Linked DNA regions of Saccharomyces cerevisiae S288C. The protein of the gene in region 3 binds, or shares a complex with, the protein of the main gene of each other region. Each region holds a gene or a part of one and is shown on either strand. Other genes may lie near its edges. The genes, in order: MRPL39, MRP7, IMG1 and RML2.

Region 1 (6,015 bases), on a different chromosome or scaffold from region 3:
TTAGCAGGAGTATTATCTGTAATATTAGAATGTGATTCCCAAGTATTTGTTAAAGCAGGAGAATTTGAACTTAGTATAGAAGATGACGCGAAAACTTCTTTATCAAGAGCCGAGATGGGTTTCTTGGGAATGGGACATTGCCTTGTTCCACATACCTGGTTCATTTTCGAACAAAACTCCGAAACTTGTTCATCAAATTGGTTTTCAAAATTAAAGTCATTAGAAAACATATTACTGTCTAAATTCTTAGTTTTACTATTGCTGCCATCATCACCTGACACAAACCTGTTAGTATATATTACATTATCTAACCAATCCATCGAAGTGGAGGAGTTTGGTGTGTTATTAAGAACATCGTTACTATTTGAAAGGGAATCCAAAGTAGCGCTGGAGGAATCTGTAGCGTCACTTAATTTCTTTTGTGTCTGATTTATAGGCATAGGAGCCGAATGACTTGGATCATTTGGTGAAGGTAATTGTTTCCCCACATTTTTACTGTTGTCGTTGTCGTTGTCGTTATCAAGCGGATATTGAAACGTGAAATTCATCTTTTGTTTAACATTTTCTTGTATGTCATCATTGGGTGTGTCAATTGGCTCGCTATTGCTGTGGTTAACGTTATTTTTTGAAAAATGCAAATTAGGATCTCGCCTTGCTAAATATTCCAGCACTTTTGAGTCATTTCTTGTCTCTGGTCTATATTTTTTTAACTCATTCACCAGAGTGATTAACTGGTCCCTCAAAAAAGTAGCTTCCACTTCATTTTGCTGCTGAATACTCTCTAAACTTTGTACCTTCTTCTCCAATTCCTTCATCTTCCTCTCCTTACGTTCCCTAAAAGCTCTTTGAGCGGCCCGATTTTGGGCAGTCCTCTTCTGCTTAGTTTCAGGATCCAAATCTTGCTTTTTGCTAGTTTTGCTACCCTTCTTCTTCGGTTGCTCGCTATCCTCGCCATCACGTGTACCAGTACGTCTATGTTCATTTTCTATTTCATCGTGACGAGATTTTGAACCCTCAAACTCCGCTAATGAACCCGGAGAAACGACATCCAGCGACCTCTTGGCGGTAGACACACTCATGGTTTAAGAAACAACTTTTCCTTCTTTAAACGTTTTGGGTGGCAAAAAACTTCCCTTAAACAAACTAAAAATGGCTCGTGTTCATGCACAAGTCAACCAGGGGCTCAGGAAAAAAAGCTAAACACCAATCCTATATATAACGTAAAGGTACTGTGCTTAATCGGTAAACGGAAGACTATTAAGCAAATGTATCTCTTAAGACCTTACGCATCCATCAGTTGCCACCCTCCTACTCTTCATCGGAGGGTTTCCGGTTCCCATGACAAAGACGGCGCTTTGGCGGGGCCCAAATTGTTACCCGCACCCAGAAAAAGAAAAGAGTAACCTAGGTCAAATCAACCAAACAGCTAGGGCTGGTTACTATTTTTGAAAAGATGCAACAGGGTAAGATCAGCAAAATTTAGGGCCGAACAAAGCCCCGATCTTCGTATATGGTACCTCGTTCCCGTACTTATTTTCAATTTTTGGCGTCGTTTACTGCCGTTTCCGATAAATACAAAAAAGTTTTCGAGAAGCGAGAGTAAGTGAGGAGCAGACAATGTATTATTCACTGTAAACTGCTCCACTTCGTCTCAATGGTACACTTCATTTTTATCGCCTTACGAAGCATGCGTTTTATGCGAAGATTGGTGAGAAACCTCCAATACTTGCTGTTGCCGATAACTTCTTCATTGCTTTTTATATAGTTCGGGTGTTTTCTCCTATCCTCTGCTGCTCTCTTTTTCTTTCCATTCGTCTTTGTAATTTATAAGCTGTTAATTTTCATTCAAGTTTCCCTTATCTGTTTTACTTTCGATTTAAGTTTTACATAATTTAAAAAAACAAGAATAAAATAATAATATAGTAGGCAGCATAAGATGAGTGAAACAGAATTGAGAAAAAGACAGGCCCAATTCACTAGGGAGTTACATGGTGATGATATTGGTAAAAAGACAGGTTTGAGTGCATTGATGTCGAAGAACAACTCTGCCCAAAAGGAAGCCGTTCAGAAGTACTTGAGAAATTGGGATGGTAGAACCGATAAAGATGCCGAAGAACGTCGTCTTGAGGATTATAATGAAGCCACACATTCCTACTATAACGTCGTTACAGATTTCTATGAATATGGTTGGGGTTCCTCTTTCCATTTCAGCAGATTTTATAAAGGTGAGAGTTTCGCTGCCTCGATAGCAAGACATGAACATTATTTAGCTTACAAGGCTGGTATTCAAAGAGGCGATTTAGTTCTCGACGTTGGTTGTGGTGTTGGGGGCCCAGCAAGAGAGATTGCAAGATTTACCGGTTGTAACGTCATCGGTCTAAACAATAACGATTACCAAATTGCCAAGGCAAAATATTACGCTAAAAAATACAATTTGAGTGACCAAATGGACTTTGTAAAGGGTGATTTCATGAAAATGGATTTCGAAGAAAACACTTTCGACAAAGTTTATGCAATTGAGGCCACATGTCACGCTCCAAAATTAGAAGGTGTATACAGCGAAATCTACAAGGTTTTGAAACCGGGTGGTACCTTTGCTGTTTACGAATGGGTAATGACTGATAAATATGACGAAAACAATCCTGAACATAGAAAGATCGCTTATGAAATTGAACTAGGTGATGGTATCCCAAAGATGTTCCATGTCGACGTGGCTAGGAAAGCATTGAAGAACTGTGGTTTCGAAGTCCTCGTTAGCGAAGACCTGGCGGACAATGATGATGAAATCCCTTGGTATTACCCATTAACTGGTGAGTGGAAGTACGTTCAAAACTTAGCTAATTTGGCCACATTTTTCAGAACTTCTTACTTGGGTAGACAATTTACTACAGCAATGGTTACTGTAATGGAAAAATTAGGTCTAGCCCCAGAAGGTTCCAAGGAAGTTACTGCTGCTCTAGAAAATGCTGCGGTTGGTTTAGTTGCCGGTGGTAAGTCCAAGTTATTCACTCCAATGATGCTTTTCGTCGCTAGGAAGCCAGAAAACGCCGAAACCCCCTCCCAAACTTCCCAAGAAGCAACTCAATAAATTCACTAGATCAATAAGATTCAAATAAAGCGCACGATATATACCTATTTTCCTATATATGCAGATAAAAAGATAGCACGTTCATTGCTAGCAGGCCTTACAAACAGACTGTCCGATGCCTTTACTACCCCACAATTTATCCCACTTGTGATTTTCAAGTTCGGCTTTTTTTTTTTTCATCATGTCGTGGCAAACGACCAGTATTTTCTATCAGAATAAGAAAAAACTATAATTCACTGCATACAAACGTATTGACTGCTCCCCTACAGCGGAAGATAGTAAGAATACAACATCGTAACTGTTTCCATATTTATGTGCCGATATGGTAAAAGTGAAATCTAAGAATAGTGTTATAAAGCTATTGTCTACAGCGGCAAGTGGATACTCTCGTTACATCTCGATTAAGAAAGGTGCACCTTTGGTTACTCAGGTCAGATACGATCCTGTGGTGAAACGGCATGTGCTTTTCAAAGAAGCAAAGAAAAGGAAAGTGGCAGAAAGAAAGCCATTGGATTTCTTGCGTACAGCCAAGTGAAGAAATATGAATAAGCACGAGCCCCGGCATGTAAGCCCATCGAATACGCAGACGTTACGCATTTTTTTTCATTTATCCTGTAAATAAGTAATGGATACATACATTTTGTATACGATTCAAACGGAAAGAAATTCCGCTAACGAAAAAGAAGTTATATAAAATTACATTACAATAATCAACTCCCTCATAATAAAGTTGATATTTCATTTAGATATGCAAAAACACATATGCATACATACATACATACGTATATGTAAAAGTTAGAATCAAGGAAAACTCGTGACATACAAATGCAAGCATAAATGAAAAAAAAAGATCGAGATTCAGTATTTCATCGAAACATCGAAATCTTCATAACTATTCTTATTAACGTGGTAATATTAAAGTCTTTTTTATTGATTTCTTCTTGGGTGATATTGGTTCTCCTTTTGGTGATTAATGACCTCCCCATGTACTGTTACCACCATAGTTTGACTTATTTCCTTGGTTGTTCCAAGCAGACCTATTTCCATCGTCTTGGTTACCCCATGCAGAAGCTCCGCCATCTCTTGTACTTTTATTATTGTTATTTCCTCCCCAGGTGGAAGCCCCGCCGTAGGCTGACCTATCACCGGTACCACCCCAAGTAGACATGGCACCATTAGATTCACCACCCGACGCCCAAGTGGATGCACCGCCCCAACTTGATTTGTTACCCCAGGCTGAAGCACCACCCCAAGTAGAAGTAGCACCAGTACCTTGGCCGCCCCAAGCTGAGGCACCGCCGCCAGCACCGCCCCAAGCGGATGCACCTCCATTACCTTGGCCACCCCAAGTGGAAGCACCACCCCATGAGGAGACACCGCCACCACCTGAGCCTCCATGCGCATTTACAGCTGGTGTTTTGCCACCATCGAAGGAGCTCCATCCTGGTGTCATACCACCGCTAAGACCAGAAGAGGTAGCCGCAGCACCTGCTGCAATACCGCCAGTGGCCATGTTTCTTGGGGCACTGACGTAACTTGGGCCCATTCTGGCCTGTGGAACTCTACCACGTCTATTAACCAATTCATCATACGTGATACCTTCACCTCCCTCACGGTTGTAATATGTTAACTTATGCTTGTCAATTGTAATGTGTTTGTTCTTCGAGTGTAATTCGACAGTAGCTTTATCACCATTCACATCTTTCACAATACCTAATTGACCCTTGTAACCAGCAGAACGAATTCTTACTGTTTTGCCGAGTGCAACTTCACGACCTCCTCTGGACTGGATGGGTTGTTGGAATGTCTTAGATGATGGAGGTCCCATTTTAGAAATGATTTCTGGATTCATTTTACTTAGATCCATTTTGTTACTTAACATATTGTCCTTGGATGCCACGGCCTCAACGTTACTAGGGTTAACAACAAAAACCCCTGCATTTTCAACAATCTTCTTTGAAACAACAAAAATTTGTTGTGTTTGTATGTACAGGACCTGACCTTCTCTGCGTGAACCTACTTTCTCTACTATGGTATCACCAATTTTGATTTCATTACCATTTGCATCGACACTAGAAACGCGTGCACGAGCAGTATTTATTTTACTCAAGATAGACCCCTTCGTAATTGTCGACACTTTACCAGTTTCATCAATAACCTTGAAGATATCGTGGCCAGCTTGAATAATACAAGCAACATTTTTAGCACTCAATTCGACTATGTCATGTAGCGCATATTCACTTGATGTAGCTGTAGTGTCGATGGATTTGGACAGATTATTTGCTGTAATGGTAACTTCTCTGCTTGTTTGAGTTGACATAAATGTCACTTGACCTTGCTCTACCATAAGAACTAAACCAGCATCACCTTGATGTTCACCATTGATGACAGTAACGTGATCACCAGGTTCGAAAATTTTCCTCAGAGTAGAGATAGGAAATTCTAGAGGCGTTGTAAAGCCATTTAGTTTGATAGTAGCAATATCTTTCGTGGTTCTTGTTACAATACCCTTGGAACCACGTTGTTCACCATTTAGAACTTCGATACGATCACCTGGCTGGAAAGTGACCTTTGCAGCTTGAGCCTTCTTGATTGATTGTGAAACTGATGTTAGATCTACCGCGCCCTCTTTGGAACCGAATCTTGCCAATTCCTCCACAGTTGGCTGAATATTTTTGGTTTCCACATGTTGAATTCTGAAGGACTTATACAGATAACCATCGATATAATCTTCATTCTTATAAGTAAAGTGGCGATCATCCCTTTTGTACAGGTTAGCTTGGTCTAATCTTAGAGCCATTGTTGGATTAAATAATTGCGGTGGTGCTCTATGAGCAAAAGTTGGTCTTCTGGATTTACGTTGCTGTGTTGTTGGATCAATTTCGTCGAATTTACCATAATCCAGACGAGGAACAATTTTCAGCATA
Region 2 (5,210 bases), on a different chromosome or scaffold from region 3:
CCACACAATAAGATTTTGGGAGGCTCTTACTGGGGTTTGTTCAAGAACAATTCAGCATTCCGACTCACAGGTTAATCGCTTAGAAATCACCAACGATAAAAAGTTGTTGGCAACAGCAGGCCATCAAAACGTACGGCTTTATGACATTCGGACGACAAATCCCAATCCAGTAGCATCCTTTGAGGGTCATCGGGGAAACGTTACCTCCGTTTCTTTTCAACAGGACAACAGATGGATGGTGACCTCTAGCGAAGATGGGACCATTAAAGTTTGGGATGTGCGTTCTCCGTCCATTCCTAGAAATTACAAACATAACGCACCAGTAAATGAAGTCGTAATTCATCCTAACCAAGGCGAGTTGATATCTTGTGATAGAGATGGTAATATAAGAATTTGGGACTTAGGAGAAAATCAGTGTACCCATCAATTGACACCTGAGGACGATACCTCTCTCCAGTCTTTATCTATGGCAAGTGATGGTTCGATGTTAGCGGCAGCAAATACTAAAGGTAATTGTTACGTATGGGAAATGCCAAATCATACTGACGCATCCCATCTAAAACCGGTAACAAAATTCAGAGCGCACTCCACATATATAACTAGAATTCTACTATCATCTGATGTAAAACATTTGGCAACATGTTCAGCGGATCACACTGCTCGTGTGTGGTCGATTGATGATGATTTTAAGCTAGAAACGACATTGGATGGCCACCAAAGGTGGGTTTGGGATTGCGCATTTAGTGCTGACAGTGCGTATCTAGTAACGGCATCGTCCGATCATTACGTGAGATTATGGGATTTATCAACTAGAGAAATTGTCAGACAGTACGGTGGACACCACAAGGGAGCTGTATGTGTCGCATTAAACGATGTATAGTTTACAATTTATCAACTACCAAGCTTGAAGGACCGAAGTGACAAAAAACATTATGATTTTCAGTGTTTGCTTATCCGCCTTTTTGTAAATATAGATTTTACTATCCTGTGCATTTTAGTTAATTGATTGTTCACAAAATGAAAGCAATCGCGATGCATATCATCAATGAAAGGAAGACGAGAATGTACAGTATAAACATATTCCCTTGCATGTAGCACTAAATTTTAAGTTTCGTGTAGACGAAAGGTTTAGCTACTTGCGCGACAAAATAGTAATATTTACAGGCATTCTTAAACATTTTATATGTGTACATACTGTGCGTAAGGAAAGAAAATCAAAGCTTGCTCAAAAAAGCCCGCCTACTTCTAGCAATGACTTCAACTTTATTTTTGGTGTAATCAAAACGTCTAGACACAATTGACTTCTTCCCGCTTTTGGTTTCAACCGTACTATCTGTTTCGGGGAAGACCGACTTTAAGTATTTCCTACGCAAATGTACTTCTTCAGATAAAGTCAAAAAATTACAAGCGTCCTTGAAAAGCGCCTTAATATAATTCTTGTCTTTTTTGGTTTCTAAGTGTTGGGATTTTTCTAGGTCCTCTAATAGTTTTGCCTTCAAAGCTTGTTTTTCTTGTTCCGAAATATACTGGTGTAGCTCTAGCTTGTTATTGAAAGATGTAGATGAGTTCAAAAGATCACTACACTCATCAATCTTGGATAGACTCTCCGACAATTTCTCATTCGTCCAGCTTTCTCTCCTTGCCTTCAAACGCTCTTCTTCTTTTAAATAATATCTACTATTGAACCTTGCATCTTCTATGGGGTATCCATTCTTCAGGGAAGCCCTTACACGAATTAAGTATGACGTTGCCAATTCGATGTCTTTTATATCTAACTTAAGTTCATCCCGAAGAACCTTACTCAACTTGTCTTGTAACTCCTTTCTTTTAGATTCCCTGACCTCTAACTGCTTCAAAATATTAGGTTTTGCGAGATAGTCTTTTCTAGAAATAGAATTTTCTTCCTTATATGCTGCCCTTTTATTTGTTAACTCAAAACGGCCAAACCTCCTTACGGTAGGCTCAAAATGAGGAGATGGCAGTTTCAAATCACGCCTCAAGGCAACACCAATGAATTTTCTTTTAGGATGAAAAGGATCAAGATAGTAACGAACAACACCAGGTTCTAAGGCGAATATGGAATGATCTTTCCCTATACCAACGTTTTCTCCAGGATAAAACTTTGTTCCTCTTTGCCTCATAATAATTTCACCTGTGGAAACATCCTGGCCTTCATATTTTTTTGGTCCTAACCTTCTTCCTGCAGAATCCTTCATACTTGTTCTCGAGCCCGCAGCCCTTTTGGTGGCATTACGCACTTGAAGGAACACACCAGACACATGTTTTTGGAATGAAAAACTAGAAGTATCTAGTAAAATAGGATTCCACATATTCTCACCTTAGGTTAAGCTTGAAATATTATGACCACCCAAACTGGCGAGTTTTATTTTTACAATGAGCCAACTTCATTCTTCAGTGAACTATCTTGAATGAGTCTCCAAAGAAAGAGCTTTAAAATTCAATAGCGGAACGTCAGATATCGAAACACCCAGTCATAACAGCCAAATTTGCATAATTGGTATAAAAACAGTGTGTATAACATTACAGAGAAGCCGTTGTGTGAAAATCTTTTTAGTACCTATTCAACCAAACAATTGAACTTGAACACCAAACTCTAGCCATCCTTATCCTCTTCTGGTCACTACATATACCTCAATTTACGTCTTTCCTTGGGTCGTTTCAAATGACTCTCTTTGTTTAGCGAGGGAAATGAAAAAGTAGAGTACTGGCTGAAAAATTTCATAATTATGTTTGCTCATGAGTTCGAAAACAGTTTGAATGAGCAGATAGAACGCCAAATATTAAGTTAACAGGATATGTCTGATCAAGAACGAGGTTCAGAAAACGTATGTTTCATTGATAAGGGAGGTGAAGAAAAGTTTGTAAAATGAGACTTTATGAGGTCATTGGAATTAAATAGACATCAACGAATGGTGAGTCACCATTTAATGCTGCCTTCAAAACGCTTGCTTCAATGTGATTCCACTGGTTAAAGGGGGTTTTTTGAATGCATTGCTAATGTTTATCTACTGGCTATGAAAGTGAGAATATCAATTATAAATAAAACCCTGATTTTCTACCTGCCATGCTATAATGTACAGTTTATTCCAACTTTGAAACGCAATGACTTATTGGTCTCTCTCATTATGAAATTTAGTTACTTTTACTAATGTTATTCATTGTTGTAGAATAATCGAAGTAGATCGAGGTCGAGATCACCTGTTCGTCGTCGGATGAGTGATGATCATGGTTATGAAAGAGACAACCATTTGTCCCGGAGGTCAGGTAATTATAACGGTAGGCGTAAGTTCGCAGATACGTACAGAGGAAGCAGAGATAGAGGAGAATATAGAGGAGGTAGAGAAAGGTCTGATTACAGAGAAAGAGAAAGGTTCAATAACAGAGATAATCCTAGATCTAGAGACCGTTACGATGATAGGCGCAGAGGAAGAGATGTGACTGGTCGTTATGGGAACAGACGTGATGACTATCCTAGAAGCTTTAGGAGTAGACACAATACACGTGATGACAGTAGGAGAGGCGGTTTTGGTAGTAGTGGAGCAAGAGGTGATTACGGTCCTTTGTTGGCACGTGAATTGGATAGTACATACGAAGAAAAGGTCAATAGAAACTATTCCAATAGTATATTCGTGGGTAATTTAACATATGACAGCACCCCCGAAGATCTCACTGAGTTTTTTTCACAGATAGGAAAAGTAGTCCGCGCGGATATAATTACATCAAGAGGGCACCACAGAGGTATGGGTACAGTAGAGTTCACTAATTCGGATGATGTTGACAGGGCCATCCGCCAGTACGATGGGGCCTTCTTCATGGATCGTAAAATCTTCGTCAGGCAAGATAATCCACCACCGTCAAACAATATCAAGGAAAGGAAAGCACTCGATAGAGGAGAGCTTAGACATAACCGAAAAACACATGAAGTTATTGTAAAAAATTTACCTGCTTCCGTTAATTGGCAGGCTTTGAAAGACATATTCAAGGAATGTGGGAATGTCGCACACGCTGATGTGGAATTGGATGGCGATGGAGTATCCACTGGATCTGGTACGGTGTCCTTTTATGATATTAAAGATCTGCATAGAGCGATTGAGAAATACAACGGTTATAGTATAGAGGGTAACGTCTTGGATGTCAAGTCTAAGGAAAGCGTACATAACCACAGTGATGGAGACGATGTTGATATCCCAATGGATGATTCTCCCGTTAACGAAGAAGCTCGAAAATTTACCGAAAACGTTGTCGGTGGAGGTGAAAGAAATAGACTCATATATTGCAGTAATTTGCCATTTTCAACTGCAAAAAGTGATCTTTACGACCTTTTCGAGACAATCGGAAAGGTTAACAATGCTGAATTAAGGTATGATTCCAAAGGGGCACCAACTGGAATAGCTGTCGTTGAATACGATAACGTCGATGATGCAGATGTTTGTATTGAAAGATTGAATAATTATAACTATGGGGGTTGTGATTTGGATATATCGTACGCTAAACGCCTCTAGAACTACTCTCGATCTATATACTTTCTCACCTATTGGATCTGCGACAAGTATTTATTCATTCTTGACTTATTTCCAGGCTTTTTAACTTTATAATGTCATTGTGTATACGTATAATCTGAAAAAATTTCGAAGACTTTGAAGAAGACTGTGAAAAGAGTCTGATTTTTCCAATACAGTGAAAATGGGTTTAACAAATATCCAAAAAAGTACTTTGAACAGATATCGTAAATAGACGACTTTTTTATATGAATAACAAAAAATAAACAACAGACAAGAGGCCTCAGAAGGCTTACGTAAAGTACGTAAACGATCTACCTCTTACAACTGGTAGTTGCTTTTGCTCTATGTTTTCATTACGCTCTCATTTCTCCAGCCGTTGGGAAACTTTTCGATAATAACGAATGAACAGTTTCATACATGCCTAGGAAGATAGCACCACCTGCACTGATCCACATTGTCCGGGGCCCCACTCCACTGAAAAATACAGCAGGACCTTCCTCTCTGTAAATCCTAATAATAACGCTTCCAAGTGAGGCGGTTGTTTTGTTGAGCATTAATCTGGTTTTCAAGAAATCTAATGGTGTCGTTGTAGCTGCTGCGATCCCACCCGCAATAGAACCGCAGATAGCCCCTTTCCATGGCTCCACTTGACTTTGGCCATTGGCTTTTGCCCAAGTCTTTTTTAGA
Region 3 (6,348 bases):
ATACTGAATATCGTCGAGAAGAATTCCTGAGTCCCCAATACTCTCAAAAATGGCCATTTCCCATGGAATTGGTATATTTCTTCCTCTTCGTCAATTCTCCAGCGCGTAATGATGTGCTGACATTGGTAATCACAATCTGAGATACAATCCCAGAACAATAACTTAGAGTACAAAGGCGGGGTATCGAAAAACTCAATATCATGAAACATGTTGGTTTCAGGGTCAATGTAGTTTATTTGGGAATTCGGACATCTTCTGTTATACTCGCACGCATACGTACAGTCTATAAACTCATCTAAATTATCTCCTGGAGAGCATGTCACTAGGAAACAGTGAACAAGTAGGGTCACAACCACAGCTAACCTCATATTTCTTGCCACACTTCTGTTTCTTTTCTCCCGAAGGGTATGGTTTCACACCTTAGGTTGCTCTTTTATTCGCTTTATGAAAAATGAAAAATGAAAAGTACAAGAATACGCAAGAGAAGAGCGAAAAAACTAATGTTGACATGACATTATGCAATAATTTATTTATGAGAGAAAGAGAAAAACACTACAAATTTTTCATAAAATCACGCCTCTTCAATCGAATCTCACCAAGAGGTAGTGTGACATCGTTATTCCAACCCCACAGTTTTGAACCAGATTGAAGATTCTCAGACATAGGAGTTTGTAAAGTGGCATTGTACTCCTCCAGTTCCTTAGCAATTGCCTCTATGTTCAATCGAGGGAACGTTTCGTCGTCATATGGATCGTCCAGTTTATCGACGCCGTTGTAAAGAATCTGGTTTGGCGTAGAAGGCTTGAAAAACAACGTTCTTCTATGGAAAACATTACGCGTGGACAAATACTCAATCTCCTGTGCTATCATTTCAGGCTCAATTCCCTTCGAGAGTAGGATCGCTGCAACTCCGGTGACAATGGGCGTCGACATAGATGTACCTGACAAAATTAAAGTGTCGTTGTAGTTCAGATGAGATAGCGACTCAATTTCCACGCCTGGGGCAAAGATGTTTACACAGGGCCCCCAATTGCTGAACTTGGCAATCGTGTCAATGTGGTCATCAAAGGCCCCTACGGTGATAACGTTTTCTGCAGACGCAGGTGAGGCCCAGTAGGCGTCTAAATTGAAGTTCCCCGCCGCGGCAACAAATACAATACCTTCTTCAATGGCCCCCTCCACTGCCATGTTGATTATGGGGCTCCTGAAACTCCCTAGACTTAGATTGGCCACGCATTTTTTACCCTGTGGGCGACTGACCTTTGTGCAATGTTCCACGATGAACTCCAGACCACTAAGAACGTTACTGGCCTCGCCAGACCCGTCTTTGCCCAAGACTTTGACCTCCACAAGATTGACCCTCTTTGCCGCTCCATACGTTTTGGAACCTACGAGTCCCGCCACGTGCGTTCCGTGGCCATTCTGGTCGCCAAACCCTTCTTTGGTCAAGTCAATCCCCTGGATGACTCTGTCTTCGAATTCCGGATGGTCCGCGAAGATACCCGTATCCATGATATAGGCGTTGACGTCTTGACCTTGATAGTCGTGTTCATAGTAGTAATTGAACCAGCTTTTGTAGCGGTCCTTGTCCCCAACGTCGAATGGGAGTTGGTAGTGGCGGGAAATCCGGGCCAAGTGACGGGGTGCGTCTGGTTGATACGTTATATTTTGCTCTTCCTCGACGTCTTCGTACGAGTATTTGGCGGTAGCGTTAAACGTATAACTCGACTCGGCGCTATTTACACTGTCGCCTTCAAAAGCTTCGAACCTGAAGTTGGGCACAATATCAGCCACCAGTGGGCTTTTCTTCAGCTTGTTCACTAAGTTCTTGGACAGGTTCATGGTCACGCCGCGGAAGGATCCGATGGAGAATTTCTTCTCAATTTTGTTGTCGATGAACTGTCTCCATGACCTGTTGGAATTCGAAGTGAATTGTTGGAATGCTGTGGGATTTTTGAACCTCACCAAATACTCCTCTGCGTATGCGAGGTTGACCAGCAAAGAGATGAGTATGCACTGTGGCTTCATGACCAGTGTTTTTTTGCTGTTTTTCTTGGCGGATGTTAGAGGATGTCTAGCACTTGAGTATACCTCTATATGCTGTGTAAAATAGAAAATAAAAAAGCCAATGAGAACAATATTTTGTGTCGTTTTTTTTATTTTCGCTTCAATTCTCTATACACGTACGTCATCACTACGGGAAACCAAAAAAAAAAAAAAGAAAACAGTACAAAAAGGTTTACTTTACCCATAGTTAGTATACGTAGATTTTATACACGCACTATTTTTCTTATATACAGGAGATGGGTGGCCACAGAACCCGCGCCTAGCCTATTTCTTTCTTCTTAGACCTGCCTCGAGGTCGCCGACATCCAACCTTGTACCTCTGATGTAGTAGTGTTTGTTTCTTTGTCTGCTCGAGACGTGGGGGGTTAGCAAGTCGATTCTCTCGATCAGCGGCGAAAACAATGGCACTCTAATCTCGACGGCCGTCTTGGCTATCTGGTTCCGCAACAGCAACGAGGCGTCTTGCACCAGTTGTTTGCGGTCTATGGAAAGGATGTAGCCAACAAAGGTGTCGTACGAGCACTTGGACGAGTCGTACACAATCCGGACCACGTCGCCTGCCTTCAAGCGGTCCTTGTTCTTTTTACTGATGAGCTTCCTCTTAACGGCCCCGGGATCCAGAGACTCTATTTCTGAGAGGGCCACCTGCTTCATAATCTGCGACGAAGCTATGCGCTGCACAGGTGGGTACACGGGGATGGTTTTTCTCTTGGTGGCGGGGACCATGTAGGACCTTGTCCATGATCCAAGCAATCTGACGTTCCTGCTCCACATCGCTATGGTTCTCTCTCCCTTTCAGCAGCTGCTCAGAGGGAAGACTCGATTCTTCTTCTTCTTCTTTACTGGGAGTTCCAAAGCACCAAAATTGAAAACCAAGAAAAAAAGGAAAATACATCACTACATAAAAGTGCGCGGAGCCATTGACCACTCACATACAGATATAAGTGTATATATACAAGTATACATATACAAGTATACATGTAGAAGGAGACAGAGACAGAGGGAAATGTATAAGTGTGTATTTTTATAGTATACAAAAGAATATGCGTGTGAGGATGTGTGTTTCTTCTAGAACCTGTGTCTTCTTTTCCTCCCGGTGAACTTGGAGTCCTTCGCAACTTTCCTCCCACGTCTTTTCATGAGCTCCTTCTTTCTTAGAATGAAACTCTTGGCAGACTCCTTGTCTTTGCCTCCCTTCAAGCGCTGGCGCAGTTGTTTCTTCAAGTTGACGTTCTCCTCGTCCATGGTCACACCGTCCAAATTCACCTGCTCCTCCCCCTGCGGTGGGGCCCCACTGCTCAACACAAGGTAGTACTTCTTATTCTTTTTAGACTCTGGGTCGTCCACCACAAGCCCGCCACTGAACCCTGCCACCTTGGCAGACTGCAGTATGTCGTCCACCTGGTCGTCGTTTTTCGGGTAGAACTGGGCCACAAATTTCCCTCCCTTCTTCAGTGCAGCATACAATGTGTTGAAAAACCTCATCAACCGCTGTTTAGGATCGTTGTATGAAGTGTCCGCATTGCACAGCCATTGGATCGCACTGATACTAATAGCCGCGTCAAACGAGCCCGCCCGGAACGGTATCCCGGTGCCCATATCCTGCAACATCAAGTCGCCCTCCAGCTCTCTACTAAGACCGGTCGCAAGCATGCTGGGCGATATATCCAAACCACACCACACATGGTCTCCCTCCTGCGTCAAAATCTCCCCAGACAGTCCGGACCCGCACCCGATATCCAGAATGAAACTGCACGGCTGCAGATTCAAAAGCTCCAACGCCCTCAGCGTCATCTTCGCCTGGATATGCTGCACTCTGGTCGAACCCGTGTACTTGTGTGCTTCGCTATCATTATAGAAAATCTCCGGTGGTGCCAACTCCTCAGGACGTGACATTATTTCTTCTCTGATATATTTCCTGTGTTTCCGTACCGCACCTTTTTAGCACTACTTTTTTACTATGCTCTTCTTCTTCTGCTTCTTCTGCTTTTTTCCTCTTTATCACACTATGTATGTGCTGCTCATCTCTTCTTTTTATCGATAAAATTGAAAAATGTGAGATGGTGTAGAGTGAAAAAAAAAAAAAAATCTGGCTTGGCCATCAAATACCCGGCCGTGGTTGGACTCGTTTAGCGAACAATAGCACCCAGCAGACCCTGGCAACATGCGGATGATATAAGAAGGACGAGCGTGGTGGAGGAAAGGGGCGCCATTGGCACACTCACGCAGGTGGTTGTTCAGCACGGCTTGCAGCAAGAGCGCCAAAACAGATTGCAAGAATGACGGAGACTAAGGATTTGTTGCAAGACGAAGAGTTTCTTAAGATCCGCAGACTCAATTCCGCAGAAGCCAACAAACGGCATTCGGTCACGTACGATAACGTGATCCTGCCACAGGAGTCCATGGAGGTTTCGCCACGGTCGTCTACCACGTCGCTGGTGGAGCCAGTGGAGTCGACTGAAGGAGTGGAGTCGACTGAGGCGGAACGTGTGGCAGGGAAGCAGGAGCAGGAGGAGGAGTACCCTGTGGACGCCCACATGCAAAAGTACCTTTCACACCTGAAGAGCAAGTCTCGGTCGAGGTTCCACCGAAAGGATGCTAGCAAGTATGTGTCGTTTTTTGGGGACGTGAGTTTTGATCCTCGCCCCACGCTCCTGGACAGCGCCATCAACGTGCCCTTCCAGACGACTTTCAAAGGTCCGGTGCTGGAGAAACAGCTCAAAAATTTACAGTTGACAAAGACCAAGACCAAGGCCACGGTGAAGACTACGGTGAAGACTACGGAGAAAACGGACAAGGCAGATGCCCCCCCAGGAGAAAAACTGGAGTCGAACTTTTCAGGGATCTACGTGTTCGCATGGATGTTCTTGGGCTGGATAGCCATCAGGTGCTGCACAGATTACTATGCGTCGTACGGCAGTGCATGGAATAAGCTGGAAATCGTGCAGTACATGACAACGGACTTGTTCACGATCGCAATGTTGGACTTGGCAATGTTCCTGTGCACTTTCTTCGTGGTTTTCGTGCACTGGCTGGTGAAAAAGCGGATCATCAACTGGAAGTGGACTGGGTTCGTTGCAGTGAGCATCTTCGAGTTGGCTTTCATCCCCGTGACGTTCCCCATTTACGTCTACTACTTTGATTTCAACTGGGTCACGAGAATCTTCCTGTTCCTGCACTCCGTGGTGTTTGTTATGAAGAGCCACTCGTTTGCCTTTTACAACGGGTATCTTTGGGACATAAAGCAGGAACTCGAGTACTCTTCCAAACAGTTGCAAAAATACAAGGAATCTTTGTCCCCAGAGACCCGCGAGATTCTGCAAAAAAGTTGCGACTTTTGCCTTTTCGAATTGAACTACCAGACCAAGGATAACGACTTCCCCAACAACATCAGTTGCAGCAATTTCTTCATGTTCTGTTTGTTCCCCGTCCTCGTGTACCAGATCAACTACCCAAGAACGTCGCGCATCAGATGGAGGTATGTGTTGGAGAAGGTGTGCGCCATCATTGGCACCATCTTCCTCATGATGGTCACGGCACAGTTCTTCATGCACCCGGTGGCCATGCGCTGTATCCAGTTCCACAACACGCCCACCTTCGGCGGCTGGATCCCCGCCACGCAAGAGTGGTTCCACCTGCTCTTCGACATGATTCCGGGCTTCACTGTTCTGTACATGCTCACGTTTTACATGATATGGGACGCTTTATTGAATTGCGTGGCGGAGTTGACCAGGTTTGCGGACAGATATTTCTACGGCGACTGGTGGAATTGCGTTTCGTTTGAAGAGTTTAGCAGAATCTGGAACGTCCCCGTTCACAAATTTTTACTAAGACACGTGTACCACAGCTCCATGGGCGCATTGCATTTGAGCAAGAGCCAAGCTACATTATTTACTTTTTTCTTGAGTGCCGTGTTCCACGAAATGGCCATGTTCGCCATTTTCAGAAGGGTTAGAGGATATCTGTTCATGTTCCAACTGTCGCAGTTTGTGTGGACTGCTTTGAGCAACACCAAGTTTCTACGGGCAAGACCGCAGTTGTCCAACGTTGTCTTTTCGTTTGGTGTCTGTTCAGGGCCCAGTATCATTATGACGTTGTACCTGACCTTATGAACTGCCACCATACCACGTGTGTCCCTCGCAAGCCCTTGATAGATATACAATAGGGAATGGGCGTCCGCTCCACCGTGGTCAAAGACAGGGGCAAAGAGCTCCTAGGTCTATATATATATCTATATACATATTTATATATATTATTAGAACTTTACAATATAGTATATAC
Region 4 (6,985 bases), on a different chromosome or scaffold from region 3:
CTTCCTTGTTTGTGGAACCTGAACAGATACTTAATGATTTTGAGTTACGCCCAACAACCAAAGAACCTGATAGCGTCGATACTGGTATGGTAGATGAGATGGTTGAGAAACACGGTTTTTCGAAAGAGATTGCCAAGAAATCGCAGATGTTTGCTCTTGATGAAGAAAGATTTGCCTTTGCCCGTGCCTTAAGCAGGCTGTCACAGATGAGCTCCACCGATTGGGTTACTAAGCCTACATACTAAACCCTATGTAACAAAAGTGTTTATTTATATTCTTGTATTTATTCTAAACACGAACTTTGATCGTCTAACAATTGCCGCAGTTACACCTTTAACAATAGTGCTTTTTATTACTGATATTACTCACCTGATTTTTTGTTACCCGAATGCAAATTTGATTAGGAACGGGGATTGTTAAAAGACAATGGCAGTACAGATAAAGGTTAGATGAAGCAGCAGTAGAATAAATCAGCATCTGTAGTACATAGGTTCCTAACAGCATTGTGAAAAAGGTTCAAAAATGTCTGGTAATAGAGAGCAAGTCTTTCCTACGCGTATGACGCTGGGTTTGATGAAGACCAAGTTAAAAGGTGCCAACCAAGGTTATTCTTTACTAAAGCGTAAGTCTGAAGCCCTAACAAAGAGATTCAGAGATATTACCAAAAGAATTGATGATGCTAAGCAAAAGATGGGGAGAGTTATGCAAACTGCTGCCTTTTCCTTGGCCGAAGTTTCCTATGCAACAGGTGAAAACATTGGCTATCAAGTGCAAGAAAGTGTCTCTACTGCAAGATTCAAAGTGAGAGCACGTCAAGAAAACGTTAGTGGTGTGTATTTGTCTCAATTTGAGTCCTACATCGACCCTGAAATTAATGATTTCAGATTAACTGGTTTAGGTAGAGGTGGTCAACAGGTTCAACGAGCCAAGGAAATCTATTCAAGAGCCGTTGAAACTTTAGTTGAATTAGCCTCTTTACAGACTGCATTTATTATTTTGGATGAAGTGATTAAAGTGACGAACAGAAGGGTTAATGCTATCGAACACGTTATTATCCCAAGAACTGAAAACACAATTGCTTACATTAACAGTGAGTTGGATGAGTTGGACAGAGAAGAATTTTATAGATTGAAAAAGGTCCAAGAAAAGAAGCAAAATGAGACTGCAAAATTGGATGCTGAGATGAAATTGAAGAGAGATAGAGCAGAACAAGATGCTTCAGAAGTAGCTGCTGATGAGGAACCTCAAGGTGAAACATTGGTTGCTGATCAAGAAGACGATGTTATATTCTGAAGTTTCAGGCAGAACAAGACCCTTTTCAAAAATATGTAAGCCATTATTAAAAAAAAGGATATTTTGTATAATTGTTTAATAAAATAACATCTTTTTAAACAATCATAAATAGCACTTCTTATCATACAACCTCAAATCATATCGGTCCAAATTTGCTCAAATTGTACATGAGATATAACTTTTTCTTCTAATGCTTTCATTTCAGAGTTTGTTTTTTTTTTTTCTTTTTTTTTTTTTTCCTTACCGGAGTCTGAATCTCTTACTTCCTTAACTTAGATGTTAGTGACTAAAATCTGATGGACAGTATCAAAATGTAAATATTGTACCTAAAAAGAAAAAAGTATTAAAGTGGTTTGCCATAAATTTTAAACAAGTGAAAAGTTTCAATATTTATATTTACATGATTGTGGACAAGCGGCATTGTCTACAGGCTGTGCAAAATTATATAGTACAGATAAATGTAACCAGAACAACGAAGAAAAGGTCCCTATGTTGCTTCTTTTCTACTAAAATTAGCCTATTTATAATCTTGCATCTTTGCCTCTTGGTCTGTCTTTTACTTTCATTCTATTTTGATTTTTACCCCTTCTAGTCTTGTACCCCTTTGCCAGTTGTCCCCATGGAGACATTGATAATTTATTAGACTTGGATTTACCACGGCCACCACCGTGAGGATGGTCACATTTATTCATGGCAACACCTCTAACAGTGGGTCTTATCCCTAACCATCTTGATCTGCCGGCTTTACCAAGAGATCTGTTTTGATGGTCAATATTGGAGACCACGCCAATGGTAGCGACAGCCTCTAAAGACACATAACGATGTTCACCGCTTTGTAATCTAACAATAGCTTTCTTTTTTTCAGGTAATTTCGCAAGGACTCTGGCATATGTACCAGCAGAGCGACAAAATTTTCCAGGTCCAACGGGTGTTATGCCAACGTTGTGAATAATAGTACCTATGGGGATCATGGAAATAGGTAGACAGTTGCCTCTTTGGGTAGTCTTAACACTCAAGATAGCAGGGTCTACTTTCCCGCCCATTTCATTCAGTAAAGTTTGAGGAATACCTCTTCTGAAGGATTCGACCACATCGCCTGGGCGTAACCCATCACAAGCAATAATATAAGACAATTCGCCGGTAGTATTATGCTTCAATAGGGCGATATGAGAGGATCTACCCGGATCGTACTCAATCCTTTGCACCGTTTGTGCACCACCTTCCCATCTGTTAAAGTCTATCAGCCTCGTTCTATTTCTATGGCCACCACCTTGGTGACGGACAGTGATTTTTCCTGAATTATTTCTACCACCGTGCTTCTTTCGAACAACAGTTAGGGCTCTAACCGGACGACCTTTGTACAAATATGGATAAATGGGGGAACGGTACCATCTCAAACCAGGTGAGACGGGTTTTAGCCTCTTCATCTGGGTCACTTCTTTCGAAAGTTTACGACGTCTTTTAATCAATTCATCCTGCTTCTCAAGAGTCACGATATCAGTATCGTTAGGTATAATCTTTAGTAATCGTGGAGTAATGTTCAAACTGGAGTCATCTTTTGAAGTATTCTCTTGCCACAATTTAACACTCTGAGATAGAGTTCGACAGAGTATACCGTATGGATAACAAGGGTTTCTCTTACTAATAAGCGATGCTGTGGAACTGCACGACAGCGCCGATCTAAGAGACCCTAGCACCAACATCTTTCATAAACACTTAAATTATCTTCTCTGCGTATTTCTGGACTAGTTTACAACGTTCTCTTTTGCTTAGTTAGAACTCGCTTTCAGTTTCCCATACGTTCCCTTTCTCTTTCAATTATAGGTTCAAGCCCTAACTTTCCACCTCGCGTAGTCTTTTTTTTGCATGGAAAATTTTTTTTGAGTATTTAAAGAACAGAGGTTCTATTCAAATTTAACCGTAGAATATACTTATTCATCTTAAATACCAAGCGCTTCAACCTGTACGTGGATGGTAACATATAGATATTTCTATAGAATGTGTTAAGGAACAGGAGTTCCTGACAAACAAAAATAGATCGTACTAATACTTTTTTTTTCGAACTATACTGTTTGCGTATGCTTATAAAGCCAAGAGGGGGATGTTTGTGTATTACTTTCTTTACTTTTTTCTCTTCTGCATTATTGTTCCTTTAGAGATGATAAAGACAACTTACAAGTACAGTTTTTTGTTGGTATCTCATTAACATGATGACTAAGTTGTCGCCCCAAGCGGATCTTTGAAATGACTGATTTTACAAACAACAAACACTGAAAATTCTGAAATTAATGAGATATTTACACATTAAACATCAAAAGTTTTCTCAAGGAACATGTATTTAATGCAAGAAAAGGATTGCTGAAGAAAGGAATCTTTTCTCAAACATTTTACCTCTTTTGCCTCATTTGTACACAGCGGTACGGTTGGATTAAGAAAAATATCCATTCGACCTAGTTTTTTTTGTTAAGCACAATTTGGTTTCAATATCAATTCTTACTGTTATATAAAAAATTGTCTTAATTGCCATTATCACTCCTCTTTTTTTTTTTTTTTGATGATGATTACACTCCATGCTAATCATGAACGTGTTCGATGTAAATTTGAATACGATGATTAAAATTGTTGTTTACGCTTTCTGAAATCTAAACTAGAAAAGAAAAGGAACTATCAAAGAATTAGGCTCTTCGTATTGGAATTAGTTGACAGTTGCTCATGAAATGAATGGATTAAAAAAATAAAGCTGCGCAAGCCCGGAATCGAACCGGGGGCCCAACGATGGCAACGTTGGATTTTACCACTAAACCACTTGCGCTTACTATTTGTTGTTATTCAAAAAATAAAGAACCCACAGAACATAGATTAGAACATAACCTTGGAGTATCAACTTGATTCACAAAATATTATTCGTCGTATATCATGGCATATAGAATCTTGCTGGAATAAGAAGCAAGTTTCATCTTTGATCTTATGTATATAGTATTAATATGTATTATTGTTGGAATAAAGATCAACTATCATCTACTAACTAGTATTTACGTTACTAGTATATTATCATATACGGTGTTAGAAGATGACGCAAATGATGAGAAATAGTCATCTAAATTAGTGGAAGCTGAAACGCAAGGATTGATAATGTAATAGGATCAATGAATATTAACATATAAAATGATGATAATAATATTTATAGAATTGTGTAGAATTGCAGATTCCCTTTTATGGATTCCTAAATCCTCGAGGAGAACTTCTAGTACATTCTACATACCTAATATTATTGCCTTATTAAAAATGGAATCCCAACAATTATCTCAAAATTCACCCACTCTTCAATTATCATATAGGACAGAATTAGTTGACAAAAAGTACGATGGGAAACAGCTATCAAATTTAAAGGAAGCTGAAATGCAAGAATTAATAATGTAATAGGGTAGCGAACGACAAAGTATAAAAGGAAGGAGGATGAAGTTACATAATTATGTAGCACTATCGACTTCCTTTTGGGCATTTCTATAATCTCGAGGAAATCTTCTAGTATATCCTGTATACCTAATATTATTGCCTTCAACACAGACGGAATCCCAACAATTATCTCAAAATTCACCCATTTTTCACTCTCAAATCTGAATCTAAGTAAATAGTGGCAGTGAAATCCGGATCAAAATTCAGTAACTTTTGTGATATCTCACATTGACATACCACGGTCGGAGGTGAATTTCTTCACCATTAACATATAATATGATCATCTATGTAAATTTTATTGCTGTTATTCTATTAGTAGTAATGATCGAAAATAGTAGAGGTATCAACGAGGTCAATGGATCAAAGAATGCCTTGAACCTGGTTAGTCTATAAATTTTCGTTTACCTACGTATGTCATATTCAACGTTCTTTCTTTCTCAATTTCTGCAATGATCCCACCGGAGTATATGAACGAACTATTTTATCATTATAGCTAGCTCTAAACGGCTGCAAAAACTAATTCCTTGAAACAATGTGCCATTAATTATCTAACGCGTGCTTCGTCCTACTGATTATTATCCCTTATTCGTTTGATTCACATAGTAGACAACTCTTGATCACCCATATAGTACCAGACGACGCTAATTCAAAATTAATCGACATTACGCATGTTTCTAATTTGGGAAAAAAAGGCCAAGCTCCGATATCCCGTTTAAGGTCAACGCTTGAACAGTGGTTTCTGAACGAACACTCATATCATATTACTTCGACTCAACTGCTGAGCTAGCAGACTGGAAATATTTCAGGGACTCAAAAAAGGTTCAACTAGTCTCCACTGTAAGCACATTCTTGCATTCTGAATATACGAATGAGTATCATTAACTCAAAACCGCGCCCTCTTATACGAGACCTCCAAAAATGGATCGTTCATGAGTAAAGGCATCTCAATAACAATAGCAATAACAATAATGTTCATGAGGTGAAAGGTGGCCCCTCGTTCATGTAAGAGAAGCTGGCCGAGAAATTCATATAAATTGAACTGCTTTGGTTACCTCTCTTTGGTATATGCCTCCACTCTTCTCTTCCTAGTTAAGCTTATATCAGCACAAACAAAACAAATAAAATGGTCAAATTAACTTCAATTGCCGCTGGTGTTGCCGCCATCGCTGCTACTGCTTCCGCAACCACCACTCTAGCTCAATCTGACGAAAGAGTCAACTTGGTTGAATTGGGTGTCTACGTATCTGATATCAGAGCTCATTTGGCTCAATACTACTCTTTCCAAGCTGCTCACCCAACTGAAACCTACCCAATTGAAGTTGCTGAGGCCGTTTTCAACTACGGTGACTTCACCACCATGTTGACTGGTATTGCCCCAGACCAAGTGACCAGAATGATCACCGGTGTTCCATGGTACTCCAGCAGATTAAAGCCAGCCATTTCCAGTGCTCTATCCAAGGACGGTATCTACACTATCGCAAACTAGAGACAAACGCCAATTTAATGAAGGAAATGCTATGAAACTTAGATAATGAAATAAAAAAAAACCCTTTTTTTTTTTTTGGTAGTATAAATATCTTTATACGTACATACGTGAACAATCACATCATATCTGTCAATTCTCGTTGTAACCATAACCTAGCACTTATTTCAGACTTTCCAAAGGTCGCAGTATCTTTATGACGAGCCATCCCATGTAAAAATTGCCGTGCCGGATATGAAGTGACAAAGATCAGTCTATATCTCGGAAAGCCAACAAATATCTTCATTATGAAGTAACGTATAGTGATTGCTTCCACATCTGTTCAATTCGGACAATTTTCGTTAGCAGTAGAGTCAAAGCGATCGCCTTAATTGTCTCCGTATCTTATTTATTCATGAACAGCATGACAATTGACAGTCACTTGAATGAAGTAGAAAGTTTGATTGTCACGGTCATCTGAGATATACTACCGGCACCTGATCCCCGCTAATTAGGCAAGGCGAAACTGTCACCAAGTTGGACATATTAGACATTAATAACTTCTCTGAATCGCTCTCACTCCAAAGCAGTGACATTAAATTTTGCTTTCATTCGTGAAAGAATCGACTAATAAATTATCATTTATAATTCAACTTCAGTTGAAATAAACAACTCATCAAATTTTCTTTCCAAGCTTTTTATAATGGACTTTTCGTCACCGCTAACAAGTAAAGGATTACATTTGACACGTATATAGATTTTTCTTACGGTTTC

The links.
Region 1: IMG1 (region 3) and MRPL39 share a complex: the UniProt entries of both Saccharomyces cerevisiae proteins name them as parts of the mitochondrial large ribosomal subunit.
Region 2: IMG1 (region 3) and MRP7 share a complex: the UniProt entries of both Saccharomyces cerevisiae proteins name them as parts of the mitochondrial large ribosomal subunit.
Region 4: IMG1 (region 3) and RML2 share a complex: the UniProt entries of both Saccharomyces cerevisiae proteins name them as parts of the mitochondrial large ribosomal subunit.

What each region holds. Positions count from the first base shown.
Region 1 is NC_001145.3:248,912-254,926, reverse strand, and holds MRPL39 (mitochondrial 54S ribosomal protein bL33m MRPL39), read left to right. Parts: upstream 1-3,410; coding exon 3,411-3,623; downstream 3,624-6,015. Other genes in the region: DNA-binding transcription factor YAP1, read right to left, coding at 1-1,079; MIN4 (Min4p), read left to right, coding at 1,655-1,765; ERG6 (sterol 24-C-methyltransferase), read left to right, coding at 1,937-3,088; transcription elongation factor SPT5, read right to left, coding at 4,059-6,015. UniProt on the Saccharomyces cerevisiae protein: Component of the mitochondrial ribosome (mitoribosome), a dedicated translation machinery responsible for the synthesis of mitochondrial genome-encoded proteins, including at least some of the essential transmembrane subunits of the mitochondrial respiratory chain.
Region 2 is NC_001146.8:620,099-625,308, forward strand, and holds MRP7 (mitochondrial 54S ribosomal protein bL27m MRP7), read right to left. Parts: upstream 2,331-5,210; coding exon 1,215-2,330; downstream 1-1,214. Other genes in the region: TOR complex subunit LST8, read left to right, coding at 1-880; HRB1 (mRNA-binding protein), read left to right, coding at 2,817-2,846, 3,189-4,523; PET8 (Pet8p), read right to left, coding at 4,877-5,210. UniProt on the Saccharomyces cerevisiae protein: Component of the mitochondrial ribosome (mitoribosome), a dedicated translation machinery responsible for the synthesis of mitochondrial genome-encoded proteins, including at least some of the essential transmembrane subunits of the mitochondrial respiratory chain.
Region 3 is NC_001135.5:207,583-213,930, forward strand, and holds IMG1 (mitochondrial 54S ribosomal protein bL19m IMG1), read right to left. Parts: upstream 2,842-6,348; coding exon 2,332-2,841; downstream 1-2,331. Other genes in the region: PER1 (Per1p), read right to left, coding at 1-368; RRT12 (Rrt12p), read right to left, coding at 553-2,028; BUD23 (18S rRNA (guanine1575-N7)-methyltransferase), read right to left, coding at 3,136-3,963; ARE1 (sterol acyltransferase), read left to right, coding at 4,347-6,179; YCR050C (uncharacterized protein), read right to left, coding at 5,882-6,190. UniProt on the Saccharomyces cerevisiae protein: Component of the mitochondrial ribosome (mitoribosome), a dedicated translation machinery responsible for the synthesis of mitochondrial genome-encoded proteins, including at least some of the essential transmembrane subunits of the mitochondrial respiratory chain.
Region 4 is NC_001137.3:57,856-64,840, forward strand, and holds RML2 (mitochondrial 54S ribosomal protein uL2m RML2), read right to left. Parts: upstream 2,997-6,985; coding exon 1,815-2,996; downstream 1-1,814. Other genes in the region: AFG1 (Afg1p), read left to right, coding at 1-245; VMA8 (H(+)-transporting V1 sector ATPase subunit D), read left to right, coding at 523-1,293; seripauperin PAU2, read left to right, coding at 5,873-6,235; TCA17 (Tca17p), read right to left, coding at 6,854-6,985. UniProt on the Saccharomyces cerevisiae protein: Component of the mitochondrial ribosome (mitoribosome), a dedicated translation machinery responsible for the synthesis of mitochondrial genome-encoded proteins, including at least some of the essential transmembrane subunits of the mitochondrial respiratory chain.